7 linked regions of the Xenopus tropicalis genome follow. The protein of the gene in region 1 interacts with the protein of each later gene in a biochemical or structural test. Links are inferred from orthologs where the notes say so. Each region holds a gene or a part of one and is shown in the gene's direction. Other genes may lie near its edges.

Region 1 (4,793 bases):
AGGCACCCCCAAGTGACTTAGATCGCTTACCTTGTACCCCAGGCTGGTGCCCCTGTTAGGAGAAAACAGCACCAGCCCGGGGTACCTGCAGCGAGCCTTCCTCCTTCCATTTTCGCGCTGCCGGCGAAATCCGTGGGCCGGCGCATGCGCAGTAGAGTGAAAAGCCGACTTCTATGTTTAAGTTCGGCTTTTTCACTGTACTGCGCATGCGCGTGCAGCGAATACGGAAGAGGAAGCGCTTGCAGCTACCCCGGGCTGGTGCTGTTCTCTCTGAACAGGGGCACCAGCCCGGGGTAAAAAGTATGCAATTTAAGTCACTTGGGGGTGCCTAACATTTTGGCACCCCCAAGTGACTTAACCTTTCCTTCTCCTTTAAGTAGCTCTTATTTGGCAGCCCCAGGAATATTTTTCATGCTTGTGTTGCTCCCCAACACTTTTTTAAAAAGGTCGGGGGATCCCTGCTCTATAGCATCTCACAGCAGCCCTTCTGTCAGCTGAGGTTCAACTCCACATTATCCCTTGGTCCATCCTGGCTGCTCAGTGAAGGACCCTTTGATTTTTTCTATGCCCTTCATAAAAGGCATCTGCCTCTTACCAGCTTTTACTGGGTGGCTGGAGGAGGGCTGGGGGCTCAGTTGTTTAACACAGGGTTACCAGATCACATGAAATTTCAGGGACACCTATACATGTTACATTTAATTGCAATCACTGCAGCCCTGGATTTTATTGACACGTTCCATAATTTTGAAGTTAAATGGTAACTTCTTATCTAGACACCTAATATGCACCGCATTGATCCAAACAGTCACAGGTGTCATTTTTGATTCCCTGGAACACTCTAATCTGGCGTTTCATGTGACAGCGGAAGACGTGGTGCTTTACAGCCCATCGCAGAAAGACAAACTTTAGCTTTGTTAAAACGTATTTGTTGACAAAATGTATTTGTCAAGCAGTAGTTTTCAGCTTCCATTTTACTTTTTGAAGCACTCCAGCATTTACAAAATTATATTTTGCTCATAAATATAAACGATTCTGCTGATTTGCTAGTGAACTGCATTATTGCGCGAATTGTCTCCTATTGTGTTTGTTGTGACCAATAGGTGGCGCTGCTTCCCTTGCTCCTATGAAGCTCTGCCAGGAGTGAGCGATAATAATGCCCGTAGCTCGGCTCGTCCTGGAGTGTGAGGAAGGCTGTGGGAGGGGGAGTGGAATGAGGCACACCTCTCCGTGATGTCACAGCAGCCAAACATGCCAGATTCTTTTCGTGAGGGACTCACACAGACCGGCTCGTTCTGTCAAAAGTTTTGCAACTCCTGGGAAGTGAGTGTGGAAATAGGGATAAGCAGTTCCTGTCACTGGCACTTCGTTTACTCCCTGCTGTTTCTCCATACACCAGATAAGAGAAGACACTGGACTGTCTCATGTGAGAGAGCCCCACAATAAGCTCGGAGTCCAACGCTCTCAGCTTCCTTCTATTCCCTCCGCTCCCCCGTGGGTATATATCGTGTTCACAATGGATGTGAGGCGTTCTGTGGATTTGGGTCACTGAAACAAGACCGGTGTCAGAGGCAGCAGATAAAGCACAGGACTGCAGGAAGGATCCATCCTCATTTCTGTTCTTGGGGGTAGCTGAAGACTCGGGATGGGGTCTTTTAGCCGGAGTGTGGGATTATATATCTGCGTCTTCTTCGTCAGTCAGTCCTGCTTTTCTCTGGAAGAAAAGAAAGGTAAGGAAAGAAATTCACTTGCCACTTCATTGCTTCTGTGCCTGTAGGGAAGCCAGCCCTGGCACACAAAGGGTTATCAGACTTTCTGCGTTTCTGATAGTGGCAGTGTTGGTTTGGCTAGTGAATTGCCTCTCTCTACATCCACTTATTGATTTCCTGTGACCTACAGAGTGTAGCCAGGAGTATAGGGTGAGCCTACCTGGCTGGATACAGGTAATCCTCCTCTGGTCTGAATATGGGACAAGGGGACTCCCTGTGCCTCCTATGGGAACTATAAGGATACAGGAAATACACAAGAAAGTAAATCCCTTTCCTTCAGTGGGCTGTGACAGCAATATTACAAAATTATCCTGAGAAATTGGTCTTGTGTTTTGAAAAGACATGCTTTTGTGATGGCAGAGACTGTCCTGGAGTGTGAGCTGTGTACATTTGTAGTCACCCTGTGTATAAACTTGTGACTATGTCCTTGTAGAATGGTTACAGAAACACCTCTATAAAAGAGATACTTAGTGGGTGGATGTAATAAAAATCATCCTATGGTATAATTGCATAAATAAGAACAAAAATGTGTGCTCAGCAATGCATTATTTGACTATTATTGCAATATTATGCATTAGACAAATATTGCATTGTGACTTTTAATTACACATAACACATTTGTAAGACCTGCTGCAAGGTGGCATATTTTTTGTGCAAATTTTTTTTTGTTTAATTAAGAAGCTTTATAACCTATACTGTGCACTAATGCAAACAATAAACTGCACAGTATTTTTGTACTGTTATATGGGTTGCTAAATAGTTTAGCTGGTTTGCAAACCCTATATTAAATATGTTCAAAGGATAAAAAGCTTGCATAGTGAATAATTTTTCTGACTTAAGTTACTTTGCCCTCATTGGAACTCATCTTCAGCTTCAAAACCCACACACAGGGCATAAGGCAAGAGCAAGGAACTTAAAAAAACTACAAACAGTTATTTACATAACTTACAACAGTTTTATTTGCATTTGATGGATTGATTGATGCAGCAGATAAACAAGTGTTTAAATATGTATATATCTACAGTATATATAGAGAGGCAGGCTTACTGGTGAGTGAATGTATGTATAGTTATAAAACGCCAGCATCTGGACTTAATATAAAATATCTGTGACATTTCATGGGAGCCTATGCTACTGTCCAACAATGATTTTTTTTTTGTTTTTTTTAATGAAATTGATCTTGCCTCTGTTTTCAGTTATGTGTTGTAGCTTATATAACATTAAGAACAAAACCCATTTTTTTTTTATAAATAAGTAGGTGGGTGAAATTCTTCTCTGACTTCTGAGCAATTTGTTTTACCACGCTCTTTCAGACCACAGATGGTTAACATATACTGTCATGTGTGTAGTTAATAGGATCCGCTAAATAACTACTAAGGCTAAGATGCTGGCTCCCCACCCTTTTTAGAAAAGAATTTATCAGGAGCTTGCTATACAAGCACAGATTTGTATTTGTTCTAGTACATTGCACTTTGTACTGTAAAAATAACAATACTTTAACAGTTCTGTCATGTGGGCATGCTGAAGTCTTGACTTGGGGCAATAGAATTCAGTCTGTTCCAGGTGTGCAGTTCGACTGAATAAATGTGACAATGTAAACGGGGTTTCGTACGATATTATCAGTGAGTGTATGGCCAGCTTTAGACTAAACTTGTCCCCCCACCATAATTTTTATTTCCTTCTGCCACAGTGGTTGCAAATTCTGTTGGTGCCACAAACATTCCACTATGGAATGTATAAATAAATAAATACATGTCAAATCTCAATGAAACCTTTATTTAATGTTTGTGTTTTGCATATTTTATACTTATTTCAGCCGCTTTACATAATATTTTGTCTTATATAAATTGGTACAAATGTCATTGCTGCTGATATCACACTGATATTTACCTGGAGCCAAAGGATTTTTTGTACTTGTGTGTATGATATATTTATGACATTCCTTCAGTAAGACCTCTGCCTGGTATCTGTGCACCTGACTCCCTGTTTTTGCTTTATGTGTTTGGCCAAAGATGGATTAAACAGCTTCCTTCTACTGCCTAACAAAAAAAAACATTACGTCAGTCCATCTGTTTAATTACAGTGCAATATTGGCAGCCCAAAACTGCATATCAATCTTCATATGTTAGATAACATCAGGATGGCTGATATACAGAAGTGCTGGCTGGCACAATAGGAGAGTTCTCTACTACGCATAGAGAGTTGGGTAGAACTTTCAGAACTTCATGGAAGAATTGCTATGCCTTTGAACACTGTATGACTGTGGGTATTTGTGAGCCCGAAGAACTGTGCCACATTTAATCATTTTATAAGATAAAACTAAAACCAAGCTCCCTGCAATAACTTGATCATACACTTTTAAATCTTCATGCCTGGACAGAGCATAGGTGATGATTTAGTATCATGGTTGTTCATTTCTTCTAATGGTTCTAATGTAATTAAACTTTTGATTGTGTAATATCACTTACGAGTTTTACAGCAGGGAAAAACAATTGGACCAACACTTCCTGATCTCTATGGAATTCTGTCTAATCTGAAAACCTACCTTGTCTAGCAGGGGAAGGCAACAGTCATCAAGCAAGCTGACCTCTTTACTGAAACCATAGTAAATGTACAAGGCTGGAGTTCAGTTTCCATGTTTGAATCAAGTTGCTGTGTATTACAGAAACTCTGAGGGCATCCTGTAAATGTTAATTGTTCCATCTAGTTAATTAACAAAAAGAGGTAAACAGTAGGAACAATGCAGCATGCAGAGACAGGCCCCCACAAGCAGCCGTAATGCTACACTCTGTAAAGATTACATCTAAAGAGGGCAGAGAAAAATATAAGCCCTTCCACTGCACTGAAAAAGAAAATGTAAACTAGTTTGCATTTACTAAATAGAAATATGCAGATCTGACTGTTTAGTGCACACAATACCATATGTTCTCCCTTTTAATAAAATGCTTATATTTCCAGTTTCCTGTGTGCCGTTCCCCATAAACCTATAATAGGCTTTGTAAATAAAAAATGATTGATAATCCATTA
Region 2 (4,034 bases), about 59 Mb from region 1:
CACACACAGGCATCATAGGGCAGGCAGAGTATGGTACACACAGGCATCATAGGGCAGGCAGAGTATGGTACACACAGGCAGCATAGGGCAAGCAGAATATGACACAGGCATGCTTGAGAAGGAGACAGGGAGACCTATCAAGACTATGCACTTTACAGGTGTGAACAATACAGTGGGTGTGAACAGTGAAGGAATTTACAGCCTTAATCTAAGGTGTGAACAATGCAGGAAGGCAGTTAATACTGATACCATTTAAACATACACAAAGGTAAGCAGTCACAGCAGCCAGACAGATGGGGGGGGGGGCACAAAAGGGGGGGCTACAATAGTCCATTACTGACCAAACTGCATGATGGTCTGTGCACATGTAGCCTCCTCTTAAAGCAATGAATTTGGCCCAGGAACCTTTAGGTTTACTATATACTGTATTTGTTATATGTACATGAAGAAGGACCAGAACTTCAAACATATTATTCATCAGGATTTATTGCATAATATAGTTTTAATGTTTTACTGTAATTATTAAATGAGTTCCATATCCACATATGAAAATGGCTACTCCTAGCAGCTAAATGGACAGACCAGGTTATCTACAAACTTTCAGCCAGATTTGACAGTACAGGCAGCCACCAGATCAAATGGCAGAGGCCCAGTAAGCATTTGGCATCAGTGGGTTTTCCCTCATGAATTTTCCAGCATGTTCGGTAGGACCTCCTTGGTTCTGCATATGTATACATGGGCAGCTGTTGGCCACTATAGTCAAAGGATGACTAAAGACAAAAGATGGCTAACAATATCTGCCGTGTGTAGAGCTTCAGAGTTCAGAGTTATTCTTTGTGGGCTGAACATGATGGACGCCTTTCAGGTTAAGCAGAATAAGATACTTTGTGCATCTGAGAAAGAAGCAGTGAAGGGGTATATCTGAAAATAAGCAGATGACAAGTTAGGGAGAGGAAGCATATGTTAGACTGAATAATACTAGAAAATATATAGTAGGTCAGAGTTTTAATTGGTTAACTAAGCTTTTGGGGCTACTTAGGCCCCTGCTTCAGGTACGGTAGTCACACCTGCCATTGTTTTCCAAGTTGATTATCAGTGCCTTGAGTTTTGTTATATCTGCTCCTGGGTGCCCCACACACACCATCAGCTCAGAGTGAATAACCTATTACATCAATCTATAAATAAATAAATCCTTATACGGGTATGGGACCTATTATCCAGAATGCTTGGGACCTGAGGTTTTCCGGATAAGGGATCTTTCCGTAATTTAGATCTCCATACCTTAAGTCAGATAAAAATTATTTAAATATTGAATAAACACATTAGGATTGTTTTGCCTCCAATAAGAATTAATTATATCTTAGCTGGAATCAAGTACAAGGTACAGGTATTGGATCCCTTATCTGGAAACCCATTATGCAGAAAGTTCTGAATTACGGGCAGTTCATCTTCGATAGACTCCATTACAAGCAAATAATCCTATTTTTTCTTTTTAAAATTTCCTTTTTGTCTGTAATAATAAAACAGAACCTTTTATTTGATCCCAACTAAAATATAATTCATCCTTATTGGAGGAAAAAACCTATTGGGTTTAATTAATGTTAAAATGATTTTTTGGTAGACGTTAGGCATTGTGATCCAAATTATGGGAAGACCGCATATCTGGAAAACCCCAGGTCCTGAGCATTCTGGATAACAGGTCCCATACCTGTATTTATTGCTGTTCAAGGGCTATGGCTCATGGGGCGTTTCACCAAGCAAAAAACATAGGTAGCACTCCCACTGTCTTATGGGGGTACCCCTGTCTCCATATATGTATGTATTATTTAGTAGAAGAGTAAATTATCTTGGACTTAAATGGTTTTTTGCTGTTAATTCACTGGGAATGTAGATAATCAGTGAGCAACAGGATTTTGGTTTTACTGGGGAGCTTGTTTGTATAATGGGTTTAACTGAAATATACATTTTAGCTATGGTTTCCTCTTCACTGCACACATTCTGGTGTCATATTCAACCTGTTTTTCCAGCTATCTGTACAACAGTGGTATTAGCCACGGCTCAGATTTCCTCGTTTTACATTGTATTGAAACCTTTAAAGAGATTTGCACATTGTCATGGCAGCCAGATTAACACCTTCTTACAAATATTGTACATTTAGTTTTACGAATCATGCACAAGAACTTTTCATTTCAGTTTAGCAGATGCTAAAGTATTAAGTGCTATTCTGATACCTACCGGGAGCTGCTATCTTGCTCCCTTCCCATTGTTCTGCTGATCGGCTGCTGGGAGGGGGGTGATATCGCTCCATCTTGCAACTCAGCAGTAAAGTGTGAATGAAGTTTATCAGAGCACAGGTCACATGGCTGTGGCACCCTGGGAAATGAAGAATATGGCTAGCACCATGTGACATTTCAAAATTAAACATAGCAAAAACAGTTTGCACTTTAAATTCAGGATTCTGCTAGAGAAGCTCTATTAACTGATGTGTTTTGAAAAAAAACATGTTTTCCCATGACAGTGTTCCTTTAAATTCCAAAAGATTAATGGCTTCTATGACTGGCTCCTATAGGTACTCTTAACCACCTAATAATCTCTCCCACAGATTGCTGAAGGCATGGCTTATATAGAAAAAAAGAACTACATCCACCGAGATCTGAGAGCCGCTAATGTGCTTGTTTCAGAATCCTTAATGTGCAAAATTGCTGACTTTGGTCTTGCCCGAGTAATTGAAGATAATGAGTACACTGCAAGGGAAGGTATGTGCTCTGCTTTTAATGTGCTGTAAAACAGACAAATGGTAAGATCTGTTCCAGCAATCGAGGGCTCTGTTTTATTACCCTAACAAATTGCTTCCATTATTTACAATAAGATAGTGCCAGGTTGCTAACAGATACTAAGGATGCCTATAATATTAAACTGTGACTCCCTAAAAAAGTGATTGCCTGGCTCACAATATTTATAACTGTTGTAAATAGGAAGCATAGTGATCTGCAAAATCATGTGATACTCAGCTGTGTGGCAATAAAAGGGGTAAAGAGTCTCAGTTCATGGCATTAAATGTGTGTGGTAAAATACCCTTGTGCACATACGGTGGTGCTTGAATGTTTGTGAACCCTTTCATATTTTATATTATGTGACCTAAAACATCATTTTATTTTCAAACAAATCCTAAAACTAAATAAAGAAAACCTAGTGAAACAAATTAAACAAAAATTATTATGCCTTTTCTTTCATTTGATCAACTAGGTTTATTTCATCTCATATTATGACTTTGAAAATCGGATGATGTTTTAGGTCACATTCATATAAAAATATAGAACATTTGAAAGGGTTCACAAACTTTCGATAAGTGCATTATATATATATATATATTGGAGGGTAGGCACTCACGTATAAGTAGAATACTTCGCCTGGGTGCAGTGTGGAAATATGTATAATCACCATCTGAAAAATCTCACACTCCTCAAGACTTAATAATATCCACAGCAAATTTTATTGAGGGAAACTGACGTTTCGGTCCCACTAGCGGTCCTCACTAACGAGTGAAAGTATATATCATATATATGAACAGAGAGGAGCACACACTTCACAAAACCTGGGTGCAGGTAAAACATAAAATATAAAGAAAGGTACTGCACACACAGGGACTTTTTATGTGGTGGGGGGGTATTTAATGTGGCTGTTGGGACATAGTCTGTTGGTTTGTCCCTGAGGAAGAGCACAGACCATGCTTGAAATGTTGGATTTTTTTCAATGAACACTTTTTTTCTTTGCATTAAGTCCCTGTGTGTGCAGTACCCTTTCTTGATATATATATAATGCAGATGCAGACTGACATCTCATGGCAGCACAGAAACCAGGGGATTCTGCTAAGACATACAGTATATAACCTGCTAATGCTTTAAAGATTTCCAACAACACAAAAGTTGAGATTCTCAGCAGCAGCCCAGATCTTACTGAGTGCTTTAGTTCACTTATAAGTAAATAGTTTCCATGCAAACTTTATTCATATCAGTGCTCAGGCTCTGTTTGTC
Region 3 (4,034 bases), on another chromosome or scaffold:
CGCCCTATGCCACATGTGTCACAAGGCCCGCAGGCAAAATACAGCCCTTCTGGCTGTTTTATGTGGCCCCTGGTGACCGTACAGTATCTTAATTAAAAATTTGACCGGCGACTCGGCCTGTGTTTTATATTTCGCCCCCCTTATGTGATTGAGTTTGACACCCCAGCCCTATGCTGTTTAGGGTGGGTAGGTCAAGACTAAAAAAGGGGTCCCCATGCTGTTTAGGGTGGGCTTTTGGTTCTGATCCACCTGCCATGTGGACCAAATGTCGGTCCTGATCCATAGGTTAAGAGTAAACTGGCTTTCCCGGCTGATTTTACATGAGAGAAAGGTGAGGAAACCCTGTCATACCTAGTCATGTTCTGCCATAACCCCTTTCCCAGTGTCTGTCCCACCTCCTCAGGTGGCTCAGTGCTTCCATGTCTGTGTAACATTCTCCGTCTGTCCCGCTGGTCAGCCAGCCCCTTAATTGCCTCTTTCCCCCATTCACTTCTGCATTTTTGTGGCATTTGTGGGCATCAATGAGACATTGTGCTTGGTGAGAGAAAGAAGGGGAAGTGCTGAGGGCATGGGATAGCTTGAGTCTGAGTAATAGGTGCTGTGAGGGGATTAAAGGGGCCAGGGCCATTGGTCCCGCCCCTTTAAATAAAGGACAATGTAGAATTAGCTGGTGCATAAAGTCAGACACAGCGTCTTTGTCCTTGTAGAATGTACATTGGTTTCTTCAGTTGTTCCTAAACTACAACTCCCAGAATGCCCAGGAGAGAGCCAAATTACCCATGATTATCATATCACCAGACTTTTCACCTGCTGCCTTCCTATCCTGACACCCTCCTGTCTTCCCTGAGATCCCTTCATTTATTTCCCCTCTCCCCCTCTCTTGCTTTCATAGCACATTCCAAGACATTCAATTAACTCTCCCTGGACTCCTCCTCCCTATTTCTCCTTGAGGGGGAGCACATTTTTCATTCTTCAGCAGGCAGTTTGTGACCTCATTGTGGCCCTGGGAGCCCTTGTATCCACTTTCACCCCCCTCATATCCCATAAAATAGATAGGATTGTGGGACACGGCTTTAACCCTGCAACCTCTGAATTGGCTCCTGTCTCATGTATTTTTCACTGTACCCTGTCAGCCTGGGTTTTCCAAACTGCACACGTAATGTTCAGCTGCCGTTAAACTACAAATTCCAGCATCCCCTCTGGCGATGCAGGGATCTGTAGTTCAGCAACAGGTCAGGCATCTAAGCTGTAAATAGGGAAATAAAACATTATTTACAGTTTTGCAGCTCCTGCTTCCTGTTTCCATGGATTTATAGGCAGTATGGTGGATATATTGGAGGCACTGTGGTGGATATAATCCTGAGAGCTTTGAGCCGATCACACAGTGAATGTACTGTGTAATCCTAATTTCTGACCTGTGCCATGATCACACACACAGACTCAATTGGCTTTTTTACCTCTGTAGATATACAGTACCTGTAGACATTTTGGGGATTTAATACATAAGGGTTTTTGTTTTGTTACGCAGATGGGTGCCACTAAAAGCAAGCCGCGAGAAGGTGGCCCCCGGAGCCGCAGCCTGGACATTGCTGAGGGGTCCCACCAGCCTTTTACCTCCCTTTCTGCCTCTCAGACCCCCAGCAAGAGCCTGGATTCCCACCGGCAACCTGCACAGCCATTTGGGGGCAACTGTGACCTGACGCCTTTTGGAGGGGTGAATTTCTCTGATACCATCACTTCCCCCCAGCGGATAGGACCGCTAGCAGGTAACTGTGGGCATGGTCTTATCCTAATTGGAACATTAATGGAGATCAGCTTTATATAACTGTCAGTGGCATTCTCAAACTGCACTTCCCATTCTGCTACTTTCTGGAAATCATGGAGGTTGTGGTTCCAGAATATTGGAAATATTTTCAATTGCTGACACTTGTAGACAGACCTATGCCTGCCATTAATGCCTAATTATGTGACTTTATGCTGTAAACGGGCCGTTTACACCAGGAAATGAAAGTACCCTAAAAGCATTTACATATGGATGCTAATGTGCTATTTTTTAAACATATGGCACCATTTTTAGAAAGCATTATCTTTTTTTTATTTGATTTTGGCTGCAGTTAAGATGGCCATACACTGCCAGATCTGCTTGTTTGGTGAGGTTGCCAAATGAGTGGATCTGGGCCACCCATGGGCAGCCACCAATTTGTCACAGGTTTTTAAACCAGCCTGATTGATATCTGGCTGAATTAAGTTGCATGTGAATGGCCACCTTTATTCCGTGGGGTGGTCTAGGGGGCAGTATAGCTCATAAATGTGTATTATCTACAGTTCCACTGAGCACAATAGATGGGATTGGGCTTTGATTTTGGTGTTATTGGCCCTTCCAATAGGTCACTTCCCTTTGCTGCAAATGGAAACTAACTTGCAGTGAATCTCGCTTTAATACAAGCAAGGGAAAAGGAAAATGGGGACATGGTTAAAGGGAAGATATACAGCAAAAATCATGGTAAAAAGCCCTTTGAGTACATTATATGATTATTATATTATTATTATGAGATTCAAACCCAGGGTGATCACCAATAGTGCAAGGGTGTATGCTTTTTGGAGTGCTAATATTTATTTAATATATTCTGCTATTAACTGATGGGGGACTAAAGTTCTTGTTTTCTTTTCTATAATTCCCACTTTCCCATCTGCAGGGGGCGTCACCACCTTTGTCGCTTTGTACGACTATGAATCTCGCACCGAGACAGACTTGTCCTTTAAGAAGGGGGAGAGACTACAGATCGTCAATAACACGTGAGTTGCAGCAGCAGAGTTTATTGGGCTGGTTCCTCTATAGATACACCTGGCGCTTGGGCCCCCGCTTTTGAATAAAGTGAAGTCGTTGATTCACGGTTTTGGTTCTCACAAATCTCACAAGTCATATCTATTTAAAGATCATATGAGAGAAAGTACTGGAAGCTATTTATACATCTACATTTACATGTTTCCTATATGGGCAGGTTGGAAGATTTATGGTTTGTCGGCAAGTTGTGTGTGGGGAGGAGGGGGGGGCAAGTTTCCATTGCATTAGTCACTTCCTTGTTAGGGTAAAACACTCCGCAAGTAATGGAGCCAACTTCCAGCACCAACCTGTTGTATAGTTGCACCTGCTGTGTGTTTATGTTTGTAATATAGGCTGGCTTTCTGTATGCAGATGCTCCACGTTGAGTCTGGAGACTCCTGCACAGGCTGGTAGTATTGGGGCAATGTCTGACAGGGCATAAATACCGCAAAATTATTCTTTAATGGCTTTCTGTCTCAGTCACCACTGGTTAAATCAGAGTATCAACGAAAATGTGCAAGGGAGTCAGTTGTTCTACTAAAGCATTTATAGCCAGGGATGTAGTCTGGAGTCTTGGGCAGAGTTACTGATGTCAAAAGCGGGAAGGGTGCTGGGCCCGCAAGAGTACACTCGACAACCACTGGTACATCTGGGAATCATGGCGGTTTTGATCTGTAATAATCAGGCATACAATTAATAACAAAGAGGCAGAAAAATTCATATACAAGTATAGAGTCTATTATCCAGAATGCTCAAGACCTGGAGTTTTCTGGCCAGGCCCCCTAGGCATTTGCACGCTGACAACCCAGCAGCAGGGCAATTACCTCAGGGTGGTAGGGGGACAAGGGCCCAGATTAGGTACTAGCACCGCCTTCACTGGTCCTTAAGCCTACCCGTAGTTCTGGCCCTGATAAGCAATCTTTCCATAATTTGGATCACCAAGCCTTAAGTCGGCTAAAGATCCCTAAAAAATTACATACACCCAATAGGATTGTTATGCCCCCAATATGGATCCGTGCAGATTGGTCCCTATCAAGCAAAAGCTATTATTACAGAGAAAAAATGTGAGTTATTTGTTTATAATAGACTCTATCTGGAGCTTTCTGTATATTGGGGGTTCCCCTTTTGTTAATATCTGACCCCTTTAGCTTGTGTGCCAAACTCTTTGCCATAATTCAGAGATTTCTGGATAACGGGTTTCCGGATTATT
Region 4 (4,497 bases), on another chromosome or scaffold:
GTCTCTCAGTGAGTGTCTCTCAGTGAGTGACTCTGGGTAATGGTGTGACTGTCTCTCAGTGAGTGTCTCTCAGTGAGGGACTCTGGGTAATGGTGTGACTGTCTCTCAGTGAGTGTCTCTCAGTGAGGGACTCTGGGTAATGGTGTGACTGTCTCTCAGTGAGTGACTCTGGGTAATGGTGTGACTGTCTCTCAGTGAGTGACTCTGGGTAATGGTGTGACTGTCTCTCAGTGAGTGACTCTGGGTAATGGTGTGAGTGTCTCTCAGTGAGGAACTCTGGGTAATGGTGTGACTGTCTCTCAGTGAGTGTCTCTCAGTGAGTGACTCTGGGTAATGGTGTGAGTGTCTCTCAGTGAGTGTCTCTCAGTGAGTGACTCTGGGTAATGGTGTGAGTGTCTCTCAGTGAGTGTCTCTCAGTGAGTGACTCTGGGTAATGGGGTGAGTGTCTCTCAGTGAGGAACTCTGGGTAATGGGGTGAGTGTCTCTCAGTGAGGAACTCTGGGTAATGGTGTGACTGTCTCCCAGTGAGTGTCTCTCAGTGAGGAACTCTGGGTAATGGTGTGAGTGTCTCTCAGTGAGGAACTCTGGGTAATGGTGTGACTGTCTCTCAGTGAGTGTCTCTGGGTAATGGTGTGAGTGTCTCTCAGTGAGTGTCTCTCAGTGAGGAACTCTGGGTAATGGGGTGAGTGTCTCTCAGTGAGGAACTCTGGGTAATGGTTGTGACTGTCTCTCAGTGAGTGTCTCTCAGTGAGGAACTCTGGGTAATGGTGTGAGTGTCTCTCAGTGAGGAACTCTGGGTAATGGTGTGAGTGTCTCTCAGTGAGGAACTCTGGGTAATGGTGTGAGTGTCTCTCAGTGAGGAACTCTGGGTAATGGTGTGAGTGTCTCTCAGTGAGTGACTCTGGGTAATGGTGTGACTGTCTCTCAGTGAGTGTCTCTCAGTGAGTGTCTCTCAGTGAGGAACTCTGGGTAATGGTGTGAGTGTCTCTCAGTGAGTGACTCTGGGTAATGGTGTGAGTGTCTCTCAGTGAGGAACTCTGGGTAATGGTGTGAGTGTCTCTCAGTGAGTGTCTCTCAGTGAGTGTCTCTCAGTGAGTGACTCTGGGTAATGGTGTGAGTGTCTCTCAGTGAGTGTCTCTCAGTGAGGAACTCTGGGTAATGGTGAGTCTCAGACTGTGCGTCGCTCACAGTGTCCGGCCCCGCCCACATTCCTGCCTCCCGCTACTTGCAGTCTCCTCCCACAAGTGTCCGTGTCTCCGCCCCATTCCCGCCTGTGCCCCGCCCCTGTTCCCCGGTGCCTCCTCCCCGGGCTGTGAGTGGCTCCCCCGGCCCGTGTGGCTCAGTGCTGTCTCCGCTCTGCCCCAGGCTGATGGCGCTAGTCGGTAACTCGGGGCCCCCACAGTCCGCCTGACTCTCCCGCCCTCCCTCCGTACTCCAGGCCGCGGCCCGGGCCTAGCCTTGCTGTGGGACTCCCCGGGGCCATGTCTAACCAGGGATCCCGGCGGAACGGGCCGGTGAAGCTGCGACTGACCGGTGAGTAGGCCCGATACCCCTGCGTGGGGCAGAAGGCTCAGGGTGGGAGGGATCACAACAACAAGTTGGGCCCGGTGCTTCCCAGCATTCCGTGCGTTTGTCATGAGTTCCGGGGGCAAGTAGGGTAATATTCACCCCAGCTACTTCCTGCCGTTAGTTACCCCTCAGGCCTAACCTGCATGTTCCATTGAGCCCAGGGGCCCCTCTGGCTTGGCCTGGAGCTGAGCAATTGCCCTTTGAGGCAGGATTACTTGCCCTAGGTGGGGGTAACTAGTTGGTTTGGGGCCCTGGGTGCTTCTGGGGTCACACCCTGTGCTTATTGGGGTCCTGCCCAGGCTGTGAGTGCGCCCCCTAATTACAGGGCAATAACGAGACCTAATTAATAGAGTTTATATGAGTCTGGCGCTTGTACCCCTGTATGGGGCAGTTAGCTCATGTATGTGCCTGATTCCTGCGCCACTTGCCCCTGTATAGGGGGTACTTATTAGAGGGAAGAAGTCACTTGTGTAGGCTTGTGGGGGCGCCAGGAACCCTAAAATAAACCCCAAATGCCCAACCCCTCCCCTATCGGCCAGGCCTGGGGGCTGCAACCATCTTCCTTCAAGGCTTCGCAATCCCCTTTCTGGGCTAATGTGCATTTGGGGCAACTAGGATTGCTGCTCTTTGGATTCTGCCCCTGCTCAAGGTACCAACATGGCTCCTCAGCCCCAATGTGTCTGAGTTGCATCTCGATTGTGAAATAAGTTTTAGTCCTTTAATGGCATTTTACTGTATTTTGCGTGAAATCTGGAGTGGTCATTGGGGTATGTAATGGATCTGCCCTGGGCACTGCCACCCTTGGCTACTGGAACTCTGGCTGGACCTTATTTGCCCTTTAACTCATCTTTGAAGAGGATGCTGGGATTTGTAGTTCTTTAACAGCTGGTTGCCTAGGCATTCAAAAAGCAGTATTACTAAGTCCTTACCATATGGGCCCCCCTTTCCTCACTGACTACAGGGGGGCTGGTATTAAAAGCAATCATGGGTACCCACTCTAACCATAGGAAATGCCCACAATGGCTTGGCATGCAGAGATTTACAGTGGCATCCATGGTAGTGAGTATTGGCCTTGTCTGGCATTGTCCTTTAATTGTGAACCCTGTTGTTCGGGTTGCCTTTTGCTCACACTGAATGCTGGGAGATGTAGTTTCACAATATGTGGGCCTCTGGCCTAGGTGCCCTGCATTGTCAGTACAAGTGCAGCTGAGTGTGAGAGAGTACATGGAATATGAATCATGGTTTCTTATGGAGTCATTCACACTGGCAGTTTCCTTCTGAGCATTTATACAGAAACCATAGAGTTGTGCCCATAGGCAGACATACAGATACCATAGAGTTGTGCCCATAGGCAGACATACAGAAGCCATAGAATTGTGCCTATAGGCAGACATACAGAAGCCATAGAGTTGTGCCTATAGGCAGACATACAGATACCATAGAGTTGTGCCCATAGGCAGACATACAGATGCCATAGAGTTGTGCCTATAGGCAGACATACAGATACCATAGAGTTGTGCCCATAGGCAGACATACAGATACCATAGAGTTGTGCCCATAGGCAGACATACAGAAGCCATAGAGTTGTGCCCATAGGCAGACATACAGATGCCATAGAGTTGTGCCTATAGGCAAACATACAGAAGCCATAGAGTTGTGCCCATAGGCCCATGTCCCCCTGACAGACCGGCGTAGCCCCAGGTTTCCCCCCTGACAGACCGGCGTAGCCCCAGGTTTCGCCCCTGACAGACCGGCGTAGCCCCAGGTTTCGCCCCTGACAGACCGGCGTAGCCCCAGGTTTCGCCCCTGACAGACCGGCGTAGCCCCAGGTTTCCCCCCTGACAGACCGGCGTAGCCCCAGGTTTCGCCCCTGACAGACCGGCGTAGCCCCAGGTTTCGCCCCTGACAGACCGGCGTAGCCCCAGGTTTCCCCCCTGACAGACCGGCGTAGCCCCAGGTTTCCCCCCTGACAGACCGGCGTAGCCCCAGGTTTCCCCCCTGACAGACCGGCGTAGCCCCAGGTTTCCCCCCTGACAGACCGGCGTAGCCCCAGGTTTCGCCCCTGACAGACCGGCGTAGCCCCAGGTTTCCCCCCTGACAGACCGGCGTAGCCCCAGGTTTCCCCCCTGACAGACCGGCGTAGCCCCAGGTTTCGCCCCTGACAGACCGGCGTAGCCCCAGGTTTCCCCCCTGACAGACCGGCGTAGCCCCAGGTTTCCCCCCTGACAGACCGGCGTAGCCCCAGGTTTCCCCCCTGACAGACCGGCGTAGCCCCCAGGTTTCCCCCCTGACAGACCGGCGTAGCCCCAGGTTTCCCCCCTGACAGACCGGCGTAGCCCCAGGTTTCCCCCCTGACAGACCGGCGTAGCCCCAGGTTTCCCCCCTGACAGACCGGCGTAGCCCCAGGTTTCCCCCCTGACAGACCGGCGTTATAAAGTCATTATGGCTGGGAATGTCAATGCTATAAATGCAGTGATGACCTGCTTTGTCAGCGTGTTCCTCTGGGCCGGTCCCAGCTGCAGATTCCATGGCCAGGTACCGGGATGTGCATGTTGTTCTGACCCATTATGGTACTGTGTAAGGCCAGGTACCGGGATGTGCATGTTGTTCTGACCCATTATGGTACTGTGTAAGGCCAGGTACCGGGATGTGCATGTTGTTCTGACCCATTATGGTACTGTGTAAGGCCAGGTACCGGGGTGTGCATGTTGTTCTGACCCATTATGGTACTGTGTAAGGCCAGGTACCGGGGTGTGCATGTTGTTCTGACCCATTATGGTACTGTGTAAGGCCAGGTACCGGGATGTGCATGTTGTTCTGACCCATTATGGTACTGTGTAAGGCCAGGTACCGGGGTGTGCATGTGTTCTGACCCATTATGGTACTGTGTAAGGCCAGGTACCGGGGTGTGCATGTTGTTCTGACCCA
Region 5 (4,034 bases), on another chromosome or scaffold:
ACATTTGTTTATTTTGAGTGATATTAAGCCCTCCGCTACTGTTCTCCGGGGGTGTTGTTCTCTAGGTATAGCAAATAGTGGCTGGCGAGGAAATACCTCTGGAAGTTTGTAAGGCCAATCAGCCACCTGTTAGAGGGGCTTTCAGTGTCTGCAGGGCCAGCCTGGGTTGCTCACCTGAGGAGGTTGACTTCTAAAGGGGTGATTTTGCCAGACCAAGGTTCTTTCCCATAGCTGGGTGATACCTTTTTTACATACATATGGATCCATATTCCTAAATATCTAAATTCAGAAACGCAGTTGTATGGGCTTGTTTGGTGGGATTAAGGACTTATAGTTAACTTTTAAGTCCACAATATTTACCAAATTTTGTTAATAGCCAGATCAGAGCTTGGAGAGAGTTTTTAGATTCTGCCAAATATAAAAGCATGTCATTAGCATACAATGACACTTTCTCTACCAAGTTTCCTAATCGAAACCCCGCAATTTCTCTGTTCAGACTTATCTGAGTTGCCAAGGGTTCAATGGCTAGGACCTTAGTTTGGTGTCATGCATAGAGGACCTTGACCCAACCCATGAATCTGGGCCCAAAGCCATAAGTGGTAAAAACTTCCCACAAGTAGGGCTGGTATACAGTGTCAAAACCTTTCTCAAACCTTAATTTTAATACATGCTGCATGAACACTTACACATTCAGTGGCTCAATGCTATGTTGTGGATCTATCAGTGAGTCATGGTAGTTGTAATTAATCTAGAATGCTAAGTGCTTTCACTTATATTCCATAATAAAGACATTCTCTTAATATTGGTATTTATACAGAAATGACAGCTGCCATATTTACTGCTACCACTGAGGCACGCTGGATATCACTGAATATTGTTAAACTGCTTTTACATTAACTCTTTAATTATGCTTTGGGTTCAGGCACTAATGGCTTCCAGACTTTATAACCCAAATGTTTAAATGTTGGCAGATGGGCTGTTATGTCACTGGATACAATAAAGAGATAAGTCATATAAACTAGGCTTGAACTCTGTGAGTTCCAGATGGTGAGAATATGCAAAACCTTTGATCACTGAGCCTTAATGGAAACATTTCTTCTTACCTATTCCAGACACCATGTTCAAGCACTTGCAGGCAATGGACGCCATGAGAAACTTCTCGGAATTCCGTCAGGAGGCCAGCATGCTCCATACTCTGCAGCACCCCTGCATTGTCTCCCTGATTGGCATCAGCATCCATCCACTGTGCTTTGCCCTGGAGCTGGCACCTTTGGGGAGCCTCAACACAGTGCTGGCAGGAACAGCCCAAGGTGACTACCACTACATCCGGGATCAGTTCACTGCACAGACCACAAAATTGTTACTAACCATGTTTATGTGCTTTGAGTCCCTTGTGCAATTCCACCCACACTTCCATACACACATGATTGGAGGCTAAAAGCTTCATAGCTTGAAGATTTGTAGGAATTTTCTTTGCATGATTTTTTTGTTTGTTTGGTCTTGCAAATAATGATCTCGTTGCCATGTATATACAGCAGACATTTATATCCTTCTGGCCTCTTTTTTCAAATAAGGGTCAGTGTTATGATTATGCATGTTGGAAAAAATGGCACCATACTAATCCCCACAAATCATATGGTGTCATTTGAAAGAAGAAAACAGGAAACTGAAAGTGGGCCAAAATAAGTAAACCAACATTTTTATAATAAATATATCAAGTCCTGCCGAGTCCATATAAAACATTTTAAAGTTTAATGTTGTGTTGCTGTGCTAACATCCAAATACATCCATGAGAACCTGAACATATAGCTAGCATGCCATTACTTGAGAGAAGCACTTTAAAAGGGCCCAACAAAAAAGTATGGAAATCGAAACAATGAAAGGCAGGCACTCCTGAACCCAAATAAACCATATTGCAATTCTTCCTTCATAAAGTAATTGATAAGGGGCACTGAGAACATGGTTAATATGAGATCTTGTTTGATGCAAGAAGAGGCGGATCATTCCAGACTGATTTCAGTTTTATGGTGGTAAGGTGATAGTGGATTATGATGTAGATAAAGCATTTGTTCATCGGATTAAGGGTAAAAATGCAAGTTGCTGGTCTGTGTGTGGATCTTCCAGTAGGGTGCAGATCTTACCAGTTGGACCCACACAGGTCCACACAGGTCTCTGTCGACACCTACCTGGGTAACTGGGTTTAGAGTGAATGGAGGGAAGGGCCATCATTTTGAAGGAAATATGATGTTTTTTGTCTTGGACATATTCAACTATTTATTAGCATTAGCATCACCATTCGTAGTGAACCCAAGCAAGAAGTGTAGCTCACAATAGACTAATCTGGAGAGTTATTGAAGGGGCGACTGACCAAAATCATTGGATGATATAATGGGAACTAATTATTTGTCTTTATCTTATAGATGCAAGTTCATTCATGCCTCTTGGTCACATGCTCACTCAGCGTATTTCCTATCAAATTGCATCTGGGCTGTCCTACCTGCATAAAAAGAATATAATATTTTGTGACCTGAAATCAGATAACATCCTGGTTTGGTCCCTGGATGTCAAGGAAGCTGTGATAATCAAACTCTCAGACTATGGCATTTCGCGGCTGTCATTCCATGAGGGAGCCCTGGGTGTGGAAGGCACCCCAGGATATCAAGCACCCGAAATCCGTCCTCGGATTGTGTATGATGAAAAGGTAACTGTCAACTGGGTCAGCTGTGAGATTGATATTTGTTTTCTGATCAAATAAATAACTTTTTTTTTATGTAAGGCAGTTATAATAACATGTACTGTACATGGCTCTGTTCTGTTACACTTCTTTAATATTGCACTTAGTCTTGCACATCTAGCCTCCTGTATATTTTCAAGCTGCCCTATTAGCATTATTAGATATTATTAGATATTAAACCAGTGGATGCCAGATGTTTTTGGTTGAAGAGCCCCACAGAGGTTCAACCTCTTATCAGGGACCACCTTAGTTCATGACAGGGTTACAGTTTGGACTTTTTAACTATTCAGCCATAGTTTTAGCCCTAATTTAGCTTCAAGCTGGGCTTTCAGGTATATCTAAAAAAGCAAAAAGGAATTCTTTACAAATATCACTGTAGCTAGCTTAAAGGGCTGAGAGCCCTTCCTCCTCTCCTATATTAATGCAAGCCTTTTTATCCTACCATGAAACATTGGCTCAGTCTGGCTTATTTCAGTCTCTGCCGTAGGCAGGGCCGGATTTGTAATCCTGCCGCCCCTGTCCGTCGCCCTCCACGCATGTGCACGATCAGCACACCCCCCCCATGCGCATGCGTGAACGTGCAATCGGCACCGCCCCCTCCCCAACGTGCATGCAGGGTGTAAACATTTGCAAATGGAGCAGTGGGGGAGAGGTCCCCACTGCTCCATATGGATGAAAAAGCTTAAGATTGTGGTGCGGCGGGGCGGCATGCCGCCCCCAAATTTGTGCCGCCCTAGGCCCGGGCCTTTGTGGCCTCTCCACAATGTTTCTTGCTTCTGCTGCTTATTATGCCTATACCATGTTGAGTGCTTCCATTTTTTTTCTTTTCTGGTAGGTGGATATGTTTTCATATGGTATGGTCCTGTATGAGCTATTGTCAGGCCAGAGACCATCTTTGGGCCAGCACCAGCTGCAGATTTCCAAGAAACTGTCCAAGGGGATTCGTCCAGTTCTTGGACGCCCAGAGGAAGTTCACTTCCATCATCTGCAGGACCTGATGATGGAATGTTGGGACACGAAGCCTGAAAAGGTACAATTCCACAAGCCAGCAATATTTGCCTTAGTATTTACTGAGTGCATGTTTCACTTGTAGTATTTGTTTTCTGAATACAGCCTCACTGACACATTAAGTCATTATCAGTTGTAACCTCTGGTCTGTTCTTATAACTGAAAGTATTCCATTCATGTAAATCAAGAGCAACAACTCAGGCTGCTTTGTGAACTCTGTTTCATTCTCTATTCAAAATAGCGGCCTTTAGCTTCATCAGTTGTCCATCGTATGAATGACCCCAGCTTCACA
Region 6 (4,670 bases), on another chromosome or scaffold:
ATTTCCAAATTTGTAAATACAGACATGTGATGATGTGAATGACACAGTGATCAGCCAATCACCACCTCTTATTCTACCCCATTCCCTGCCCCCTGCCTGGACTTAATGCAAATGGTGGCAACTCTATGAGTTTGTTGTTGTTGAATGGGTTTGTAAATAAAGGTCCTGCTGGGAGTTCTTCAGTTAAGTACTCGTCCCATTTGGTGTAGCCGGCGGGATAGACCAGTAGGTGCCGCGTTGGGCTGTGTAACCAAGTTTTAAAATGGCAAAAAGAGTGCAAATATACCAAGTATCTGCCCAACATAGAGCTGCTTTGGGCCCCCAAAGGGCGGTACCATCGCTGCCAATAGCCCAGAGGGCAGAACTAGCGCACTTGGTAGGACTTTATGGCATAGGGCAGAAGGCATAATGGTATTTCTTTTCAGGGAAATTTTATGACAAGTGATTGAAAGGAGCCAAGAAGCACAGCCTGTCCTGGTGCTTAGTGCCGGGCTGCCCTTTCCAGAGGTGGCAGCAGTGGGGCAGTCTGGGCTAGGGGTATCATCCAAGAACTGAGCCACTGGCTGCCATGCAGGAGAAAGTAGCCAGTACAAAGGCCACTACAAGGGCCAGTACAAGGACCAGTACAAGTGCCACTACAAGGGCCAGTACAAGGACCAGTACAAGGGCCAGTCAAAGGGCCAGTACAAGGACCAGTACAAGGGCCAGACAAAGGGCCAGCACAAGGGCCAATATATGGACAGTACAAGGACCAATACATGGACAGTACAAGGGCCAGTACAAGGGCCAGTACAAGGGCCAATACATGGACAGTACAAGGGCCAGTCAGTACAAGGGCCAGTACAAGGGCCAGTCAGTACAAGGGCCAGTACAAGGGCCAGTACAAGCCAGCCAGACAACTGGAAGGATTTACCTAGACCAGGCAGGTTATCTGCATTAAAGCTGGAACTGCAGTATCTGGACATCTATGGGGTAAAAAGGCACTAATTTGCCCAGGTGCAGTAACCCATAGCAACCAATCAGCAGGAAGCATTTACTGGTCACCTGTTTAAAAGCAAAACTCTTATTAATTGCTATTGGTTACTGCTCCTGGGCAAACTTAGTGACTTTTATTACATATGGGGATAGGGAGCCACTGACCCGGCCCGAGAATGGTTCCAACCTGGGGGATCCACAGTTAAACTAGAGGAACATATGGCCATGTTCTATGAATACATAACAGAATAAATGCAAGGACGTAGTCTCAGAACACGACTGGGTTCTAGGTCCATTGCTTGTACCAATTATAAACCTTAAAAATAGTTTAAAATTTTTATTTATTTCAATCTATTAAAAACATTAACAGCCGGGGCTATCCACATGGGGCTGTTAATAAAGTTTTTACTATTTTTGAGTAGTGCAGACGTTTATAATTGGTACATGTATTACCCATTCTGGTCACTAGGGGGCGATACCTACTCTATATAAAGTGTTTACTAAAAATGAAAATTCCTTTGTTCCTGTTCCTTTTTTTCTAGTTACATTGCTGTCTGTCTGTCACACAAAAATAATAAGTGGGAGGAGTTATATACACCAATTGGAGATCAGATAACTATTGGGAGAGATAAGGGCAATAATGTTCCAGGCAGAATTAGAGAGTCAGCAGCTGAACTCTGAGATTGTAATTGGACTTCTGTATTGCCAGTGTCATTGGCATTGCAATGTTACATGTAACATGGAGCAGTGTCGGAATGGGGTGTCGGGGACCCACCAGGGGGGAATATGATACAGCAGACCCCATAGTCTAGGCTCCCCACAACCATAGTTTTTGCTGTATTGTAATTACCCCACTGAATAAAGGACAGAGATCAGAAGTGTAACTAGCAAATGGGCAAGGGGGTTGGCTTGGATCTGGGCCATGATAAAGAATACATTGGGCTGTCTAACATGGAGCTTGTCTAACATGGAGCTTGTCTAACATGGAGCTTGTCTAACATGGAGCTTGTCTAACATGGAGCTTGTCTAACATGGAGTTTGTCTAACATGGAGCTTGTCTAACATGGAGCTTGTCTAACATGGAGCTTGTTTATCATGGAACTTGTGTAACATGGAGCTTGTCTAACATGGAGCTTGTCTAACATGGAGTTTGTCTAACATGGAGCTTGTCTAACATGGAGCTTGCCTAACATGGAGCTTGTTTAACATGGATCTTGTCTAACATGGAGCTTGTCTAACATGGAGCTTGTGTAACATGGAGCTTGTTTAACATAGAGGTTGTCTAACATAGAGTTTGTCTAACATTGAGCTTGCCTAACATGGAGCTTGTCTAACATGGAGCTTGCCTAACATGGAGCTTGTCTTACATGGAGCTTGTCTAACATTGAGCTTGTTTATCATGGAGCTTGTTTATCATGGAGCTTGTTTATCATGGAGCTTGTCTAACATGGAGCTTGTCTAACATGGAGCTTGTCTAACATGGAGCTTGTTTATCATGGAACTTGTGTAACATGGAGCTTGTCTAACATGGAGCTTGTTTAACATAGAGGTTGTCTAACATAGAGTTTGTCTAACATTGAGCTTGCCTAACATGGAGCTTGTTTAACATAGAGGTTGTCTAACATAGAGTTTGTCTAACATGGAGCTTGTCTAACATGGAGCTTGTCTAACATGGAGCTTGTTTATCATGGAGCTTGTCTAACATGGAGCTTGTCTAACATGGAGCTTGTTTAACATAGAGGTTGTCTAACATAGAGTTTGTCTAACATTGAGCTTGCCTAACATGGAGCTTGCCTAACATGGAGCTTGTTTAACATGGATCTTGTCTAACATGGAGCTTGTCTTACATGGAGCTTGTCTAACATGGAGCTTGTTTATCATGGAGCTTGTTTATCATGTAGCTTGTCTAACATGGAGCTTGTCTAACATGGAGCTTGTTTATCATGGAGCTTGTCTAACATGGAGCTTGTTTATCATGGAGCTTGTTTATCATGGAGCTTGTCTAACATGGAGCTTGTTTATCATGGAGCTTGTCTAACATGGAGCTTGTCTAACATGGAGCTTGTCTAACATGGAGCTTGTTTATCATGGAGCTTGTCTAACATGGAGCTTGCACCAGAGTAATTGTCCTAGATGGTATGGCAATGATACTGATTATTAGAGCCATGGGGAGTTGCAGTTTGACACTGCCATAAGGCCGAGCCCATCCCTGCATTACATAGAGCTTGAGAGATATTTCTGGCATTTCCTTGTTTAGTTCTAAGTAGCAGCCAAGTGTCCCACACCTTGTCCTTGTCACAGGCTCCCCGCCCCTAATCTCGCCCTCAGGTATGTGGCAGAGCAGCGCGGGACGAGCACGGGATGAGGAAGTAAGGTGTTTCCAGCAGGTTGGACTCTCACGTTCATTGGGAGGGAAGGCCCCACAGTCCCTCCATTGCTCTGCTTCCCTCACTTCCACTTTCTTCTCCTCCAACGCCCTGAGAGTGGGGGCCAATGTCCTGACTCAGAGTCATTTCAGGTCACCTTGTCCTCTTCTCCAGGGCAGGCAGAGGTGGGACGAGAAGCCCGAGACCCTTGCTTTGATATTCCCTGGGAACTGGTTGGATGGCAACGCCAAGATGAGCCATCGGCCAAAGCGTTTCGTCAGTCTCTGGGACTTCAAGGCTGAAGCGCCGGAGGAATTAAGCTTCAAAGTTGGAGACGTCTTCGAAGTTCTGGACAGAAGTGGAGACTGGTGGCACGTGCAGAAGCTGAAGGGGGACGGGAAGGGAAAGCCCGAGGTGGGATACGTCCCATACAATTTCCTGGCAGAGGAAGGAACAGTGGAAGAGCAGGAGTAAGTAAGGCAATAATGGGGGGCAATAATGGGGGCAATAATGGGGGCAAATCATGTTATAGGGATAATATTGCTAAAATGCAAGTTAATGACACAGAGAGGTTCAACATTTAGCTAAGAAATGACTCACATCATGAGGTGCCCGGGGCTCTGGGGTAACTGCACTTTCCTGGGCCCCCCGAAATGTAATGTGGGGTAACTGCACTTTCCTGGGTCCCCCGAAATGCAAAGTGGGGTAACTGCACTTTCCTTGGCCCCCGAAATGTAACGTGGGGTAACTGCACTTTCCTGGGCCCCCCCCGAAATGTAACGTGGGGTAACTGCACTTTCCTGGGCCCCCTGAAATGCAAAGTGGGGTAACTGAGCTTTCCTGGGCCCCCCGAAATGCAAAGTGGGGTAACTGCACTTTCCTGGGCCCCCCCCGAAATGTAACGTGGGGTAACTGCACTTTCCTGGGCCCCCTGAAATGCAAAGTGGGGTAACTGCGCTTTCCTGGGCCCCCGAAATGCAAAGTGGGGTAACTGCACTTTCCTGGGCCCCCCCCGAAATGTAACATGGGGTAACTGCACTTTCCTGGGCCCCCTGAAATGCAAAGTGGGGTAACTGCATTTTCCTGGGCCCCCTGAAATACAAAGTGGGGTAACTGTGCTCTACTGGACCCCCCGAAATGCAAAGTGGGGTAACTGCACTTTCCTGGGTCCCCTGAAATGCAAAGTGGGGTAACTGCACTTTCCTGGGCCCCCTGAAATGCAAAGTGGGGTAACTGTGCTTTCCTGGGCCCCCGAAATGCAAAGTGGGGTAACTGCGCTTTCCTGGGCCCCCTGAAATGCAAAGTGGGGTAACTGCAATTTCCTGGGCC
Region 7 (4,604 bases), on another chromosome or scaffold:
TGTCCCATCAAGAAGTAGAAGGGCATCTACTATACCTGAAATCTAAACTTTTTGTGGGAACGGGGATTGGTAAAATCCAAAATTAGCTAAGTACAATATATATATGGAGCATGAGGAGACAGATAAAGGGGTTATTCACCTTTGAGTTATAGGTAGAGTAATATTCCAAGACAATTTGCAATTGGTCTTCATTTTTTATTACTTGTAGTTTTTTAATTATTTTAATAATTGTACAGCAGCTCTCCATTTTGGAGTTATAACAGCTATCTGGTTGCTAGGATCCAAATTACTTTAGCAACCAGGGAGTGGCTTCAATGAAAGACTAATATATGAATAGGAGAGGATCTGAATAGAAATAAAAGTTATAAAAAGTAACAATAACAATAAATCTGTAGCCTCACAGAGCAATAGTTTTTGGCATTTGAAAGCTGCAAAGAGTTTGAAGAACTGAAGAACCTCAAACTGAACCTAACGAAAACTGAACTAATGATCTTTCCACCTAAGCCTGGTCCTACCCGCCCCCCTTTACTATCTCTATTGATGGCACCCTCATCAACCCTGTCTTTTCACCTCCTTGTTTGGGGTCTTTGACTCCTGTCTCTCCTTTTCTGACCATATTAACACCACTGACAAAATCTGTCACTTTTTCTTACGCAATATTGCCAAAATCCATCCCTTTCTACTGCAATGGCTAGGCTGCTCATGCATGGTCTCATCCTATCCTGACTTGACTACTGTAACCTGTTACTAACTGGCCTCCCTAACTCCCATCTCATCGCATTGGAATGCCCTCCCTGATTTCCTCCGGAGAGAATGCTCCCCCAGTCTTTTTAAAACTAAACTTAAAGACTGCCTTTTGGAGCACTTACCCAGCACCTGACCAGGGAACTAGCACTTATATTGTAGTGTCACCCACTGTGACCTACAGCACTTATATTTGCCTATTTGTATCTGTAAGGTACCCTCCCATCTAGATTGTAAGCTCTATGGTGCAGGGACCTCTATCCTCTTGTGTCTTTGACTCTTAACTTATTACAACTGTATCTTGTATTTATTGTTATACTTTGTATCGATTTATTATCTTAATAACCCCCTGTTGGTATTAATGTATGCTACTGTACAGCGCTGCCTACATAAGTAGCGCTTTATAAATACAGATATACATACATACACATAATTAAAAACTATTACTAAGGCAGAGTGCCGGGGCAGAGGCTGAATGCAGGGGCGGTGGGACGTTAATGTCAGGAATCCCAGGCGCAGCAGCAGGGCTAGTGTGAGTAGGAGGAGGAGGAGGAGTTTGGCTGCACCGTCGCTCCGCCCCCTGTGGTCAGAGAGGGGCTTGAGAGTCACTTTCGGTTTAGCAGGAATGATGCGCGCCTGTGCTGCTCGCCCTGAGGGAAGAGGAGAGCGCTGCATTTAATTGAGGCTTCATTGGGCAGCCCTGCTCTGTACTGTGCCCTGTCCGTCGCCACCTGCTGCTCCAGCTGAGCCCAAACTCAAGCCCAAACACGTGGAGCAGGAGCTGACACAAGTGGCGATCGCAAGCGCTTTGCCTGCTGTCACCGCTGCATCAGGGATTGCACAGCGCTCAGGGCTGGGGGACTGTTAGCGGCGAGTAGAAGCGGAGATCTGCAGGATCAGCCGGGGAATCCGGCGCTACATGGCGGCCCATGTGTCAGGCAGTGCTGTCCCCCAGTGAGCCCGCTCCGGCTGCCTTCTCGGCGCTACATGCAGAGGCCAGTGCAGGACAAGTAGTGGCTCGTTCCTCCTTCCTTTACATAACAGATCTCGGCATGGGAAACGTGTGCTGTGGGTATACCCGCGGGGATCTGCCGCAAAGAACATCCTGAGCACCCCTCCCCCACCGGGATCTCCCTGGCTGGAGTCACCGTCTCCGGGCTGGGATCTAGCCACAACACATGTAAAGTAACTGCCTTCTCTGTGTGTCTCCTGGCGGAAATGATGAATGGTTAAAGCGTTCTTTATTTTAAGGGTTGGTTTCCTCCCTTGAAGGACTCATGCAGAGTTATGGCTTGAAGCACCATGGGGCTTCGGAAGGAACACAGCCTTTCCAGCAGGTAAATACTGGCCAGTGTGTCTGATCAATATTCCACTTTAAAGGACCGGTCACATTAGCAGGTCATTTCTTGGTTAGCAGCCTGACACCGGCATGCAGTCATAAGCAATTCTGTCAAATGGCCTTATATACCCATCCCAGGACATTCCTGTGGCACAGTGCTAAGTCTCTGAGGTGCTACTATGCTACCAGCTCACGTTTCACAGCAGTTCCTCTCTGCACCTAACCACATGCCAGGGTGATCTCATAACATTCTACAGTTTAATAACTAGGTGGCAGCAGGCTTTAGTCATGCCACAGAACATTTTGTACTTAAGTCCTGGAAAGCTGCACTTTAGAATATGTTTATAGGGCACACAGCAGTGTTGCCGGCATGAAATGGGTCTTGCCAAGGACAGTGGTATAAGTATATCATGTTCAGCTCACATTTGTATGAGATGTCATTTATATGTGCAGCCTGATTTGGCCACAGAACTTTCCACCAATGCCAGGTACCAGGATTTATAAACCTATTTATTTCTATGGAACAAATTGGCATAGATACTGCTGTGTACATACACAGAGTTGGCTAAAAGTAGAATTAGGGGGAAAAATGGCAATGTGTTTTCTAACTTCACATTACTGTAATCGTTTGTTAATTAGCACCAGCATCTCTGACATCACCCTTTCTTGCCCCCCCCCCATCAACCAAATACTGCAAAGGAAAGCTGTAACGTATTTCCAACTCAACTGCCTTTGTTCACCCAGTCCAGTTATTACTGGGCCTGCAATGCAAAAAGAATTGTGAGTGCTGAGGCCGTTGGGTATTGTACATGACTGCTTCTAAAGGGGAAGGGAAAAAAGTTTCCAGATTTTTTTACGTGTGACAATATTGTGTGTATGTATGTAATGCCCAGGTATAACAAACCCCTTAATGAATATTCATGTGAGTAGTAATGTTTATTAACTGGTGGGGTGATGCAACTGTAAATTGGTAAAAATATTGCGCAATAGTTGTGAACTCACTCTTACATTATAAAAAAAAAATGTGCCTCCAACTAAAATTTGAAGTTGTACAAGATAAGCATTTCCTTCTGCTTTTGAACCATGACTGTGTTTTTGGGCACCCCTGTAAGGTTTCCTAGAACCCTTCTCCCCCCCAAACTGCATTCGCCTGTCAGTGGAAGCTATGATTTGCTCATCAGTAAAATCTCAAGAGTCACTGGATGGGTTACACTTATACACAGTTCTTTTGTCAGTATTATGCACTTCTGTCAGAACATTTCCTTTCTATACCTGCTATATCCTGTGGAGATCTGTTTAAATCTTCTGTAAAGTCTCAGTGACCAGGTATAGTGTAGTATGGAAATGTCTGTGTTTTCCCATGAACATCTTTAAAAAACAAACAAACTGTTAAGTACTCAAGTAATGCAGGTATGTGCTTATAGGGTATATATATATATATATATATATATATATATATAGCGTTGGGGTATTTAGAATCTGCAGTTTGATATATAAAGATTTAGAAACCATAACGGGTATTGACCCAGAGGTAGAATGCAGTCATGAGTTAGTTGCTATCTCCAATTCTGGGTACAGTAATAACCTTGATTCACTTGTTCAAAGTATAGACTCCCCTCTAGGAACAACCCACAGTTTTTAGGTAACTACAGATGTCTGTGGGTATAAGCCATAATAGTGTATGAGAGAGGTAAGCTAAACCAATTTAAAAAAAAAAACATCTTATGATATGGCAATAGAATTTAAGACTTTAAGAGGATAATACAATAGAAATGTCTAATAGTGGATATTATTATGATCCAAAAAACCTTTTAATTGTTTCCTTAGCTTTTCGTTCCAAACTCTGTCTTCTCTGTTGTATCCAGCTTTTAGGGATTTGGGCCAAATGGGTGCACAATGTTTTAATGGACATATATATCCAAATATTGTTTCTCTGTTTGTTTCAGCCCAAGTCTTCAGTGTTTGGATCTGACATGAAATCCTTATTTTCCATTGCACCATGAATCCTCTGATAATGTGCAACAGCAGGTTTATTTTTTAGGCCAATGACACACGTGGAGGTTAGTTGCTCAGTAATTAATCTTCTGTATCAGTGGCGACTAATCTCCCCAAAAGCTTTCCTGTTGAAAGTTTCCTTGCAAGGCGACTTTGGGAAGCCGAAGCAACACATATGTTTTCCTACCGGCTATACAGGGATAGCTGTTGAGTGGCACATACAATGGCTGTGTTTAAAGTGAACATTGCTTTCTTTAAGCCAGTGATCCCCAACCAGTGGTTCGTGAGCAACATGTTGAATTTCTGGTTAGGAGGCAAGTTTTGGTTGCATAAAAATCCAGTGTAAAGCCAAACAGAGCCTTCTGTAGGCTGCCAGTCCACATAGGGGCTACCAAATAGCCAATCGTAGCTTTTATTTGCACCCCCAGAAACTTTTTCCATGCTTTTGTTGCTCCCCAACTTTTTTTCCATTTAAATGTGACTCACGGGTATAAAAGGTTGGGGATCCCTGCTTTAAGCAGTCAGT

What was found.
Region 2: the proteins of egfr (region 1) and lyn form a complex in vitro, tested with the Homo sapiens proteins (2 studies listed by BioGRID and IntAct, with this or other methods). The link is inferred for Xenopus tropicalis from reciprocal best matches to the Homo sapiens genes EGFR and LYN.
Region 3: the proteins of egfr (region 1) and src form a complex in vitro, tested with the Homo sapiens proteins (6 studies listed by BioGRID, with this or other methods). The link is inferred for Xenopus tropicalis from reciprocal best matches to the Homo sapiens genes EGFR and SRC.
Region 4: the proteins of egfr (region 1) and smurf2 form a complex in vitro, tested with the Homo sapiens proteins (2 studies listed by BioGRID, with this or other methods). The link is inferred for Xenopus tropicalis from reciprocal best matches to the Homo sapiens genes EGFR and SMURF2.
Region 5: the proteins of egfr (region 1) and lrrk1 form a complex in vitro, tested with the Homo sapiens proteins (2 studies listed by BioGRID and IntAct, with this or other methods). The link is inferred for Xenopus tropicalis from reciprocal best matches to the Homo sapiens genes EGFR and LRRK1.
Region 6: the proteins of egfr (region 1) and ptk6 form a complex in vitro, tested with the Homo sapiens proteins (2 studies listed by BioGRID and IntAct, with this or other methods). The link is inferred for Xenopus tropicalis from reciprocal best matches to the Homo sapiens genes EGFR and PTK6.
Region 7: the proteins of egfr (region 1) and sh2b3 form a complex in vitro, tested with the Homo sapiens proteins (2 studies listed by BioGRID and IntAct, with this or other methods). The link is inferred for Xenopus tropicalis from reciprocal best matches to the Homo sapiens genes EGFR and SH2B3.

What each region holds. Positions count from the first base shown.
Region 1 is NC_030682.2:56,743,555-56,748,347, forward strand, and holds the start of egfr (epidermal growth factor receptor), read left to right. Parts: upstream 1-1,621; 5' UTR 1,622-1,642; coding exon 1,643-1,727; intron 1,728-4,793. UniProt on the Homo sapiens protein: Receptor tyrosine kinase binding ligands of the EGF family and activating several signaling cascades to convert extracellular cues into appropriate cellular responses.
Region 2 is NC_030682.2:115,678,703-115,682,736, forward strand, and holds part of lyn (tyrosine-protein kinase Lyn), read left to right. Parts: intron 1-468; exon of another isoform or gene 469-921; intron 922-2,235; exon of another isoform or gene 2,236-2,275; intron 2,276-2,602; coding exon 2,603-2,756; intron 2,757-4,034. UniProt on the Homo sapiens protein: Non-receptor tyrosine-protein kinase that transmits signals from cell surface receptors and plays an important role in the regulation of innate and adaptive immune responses, hematopoiesis, responses to growth factors and cytokines, integrin signaling, but also responses to DNA damage and genotoxic agents.
Region 3 is NC_030686.2:39,466,274-39,470,307, reverse strand, and holds part of src (proto-oncogene tyrosine-protein kinase Src), read left to right. Parts: intron 1-1,528; coding exon 1,529-1,766; intron 1,767-2,696; coding exon 2,697-2,796; intron 2,797-4,034. UniProt on the Homo sapiens protein: Non-receptor protein tyrosine kinase which is activated following engagement of many different classes of cellular receptors including immune response receptors, integrins and other adhesion receptors, receptor protein tyrosine kinases, G protein-coupled receptors as well as cytokine receptors.
Region 4 is NC_030686.2:51,425,780-51,430,276, forward strand, and holds the start of smurf2 (E3 ubiquitin-protein ligase SMURF2), read left to right. Parts: upstream 1-1,241; 5' UTR 1,242-1,481; coding exon 1,482-1,533; intron 1,534-4,497. UniProt on the Homo sapiens protein: E3 ubiquitin-protein ligase which accepts ubiquitin from an E2 ubiquitin-conjugating enzyme in the form of a thioester and then directly transfers the ubiquitin to targeted substrates.
Region 5 is NC_030679.2:115,749,399-115,753,432, forward strand, and holds part of lrrk1 (leucine-rich repeat serine/threonine-protein kinase 1), read left to right. Parts: intron 1-1,112; coding exon 1,113-1,310; intron 1,311-2,420; coding exon 2,421-2,701; intron 2,702-3,569; coding exon 3,570-3,764; intron 3,765-3,983; coding exon 3,984-4,034.
Region 6 is NC_030686.2:1,941,553-1,946,222, forward strand, and holds the start of ptk6 (protein-tyrosine kinase 6), read left to right. Parts: upstream 1-1,702; 5' UTR 1,703-3,305; coding exon 3,306-3,811; intron 3,812-4,670. UniProt on the Homo sapiens protein: Non-receptor tyrosine-protein kinase implicated in the regulation of a variety of signaling pathways that control the differentiation and maintenance of normal epithelia, as well as tumor growth.
Region 7 is NC_030677.2:163,245,860-163,250,463, reverse strand, and holds the start of sh2b3 (SH2B adapter protein 3), read left to right. Parts: upstream 1-1,633; 5' UTR 1,634-2,081; intron 2,082-4,604. UniProt on the Homo sapiens protein: Links T-cell receptor activation signal to phospholipase C-gamma-1, GRB2 and phosphatidylinositol 3-kinase.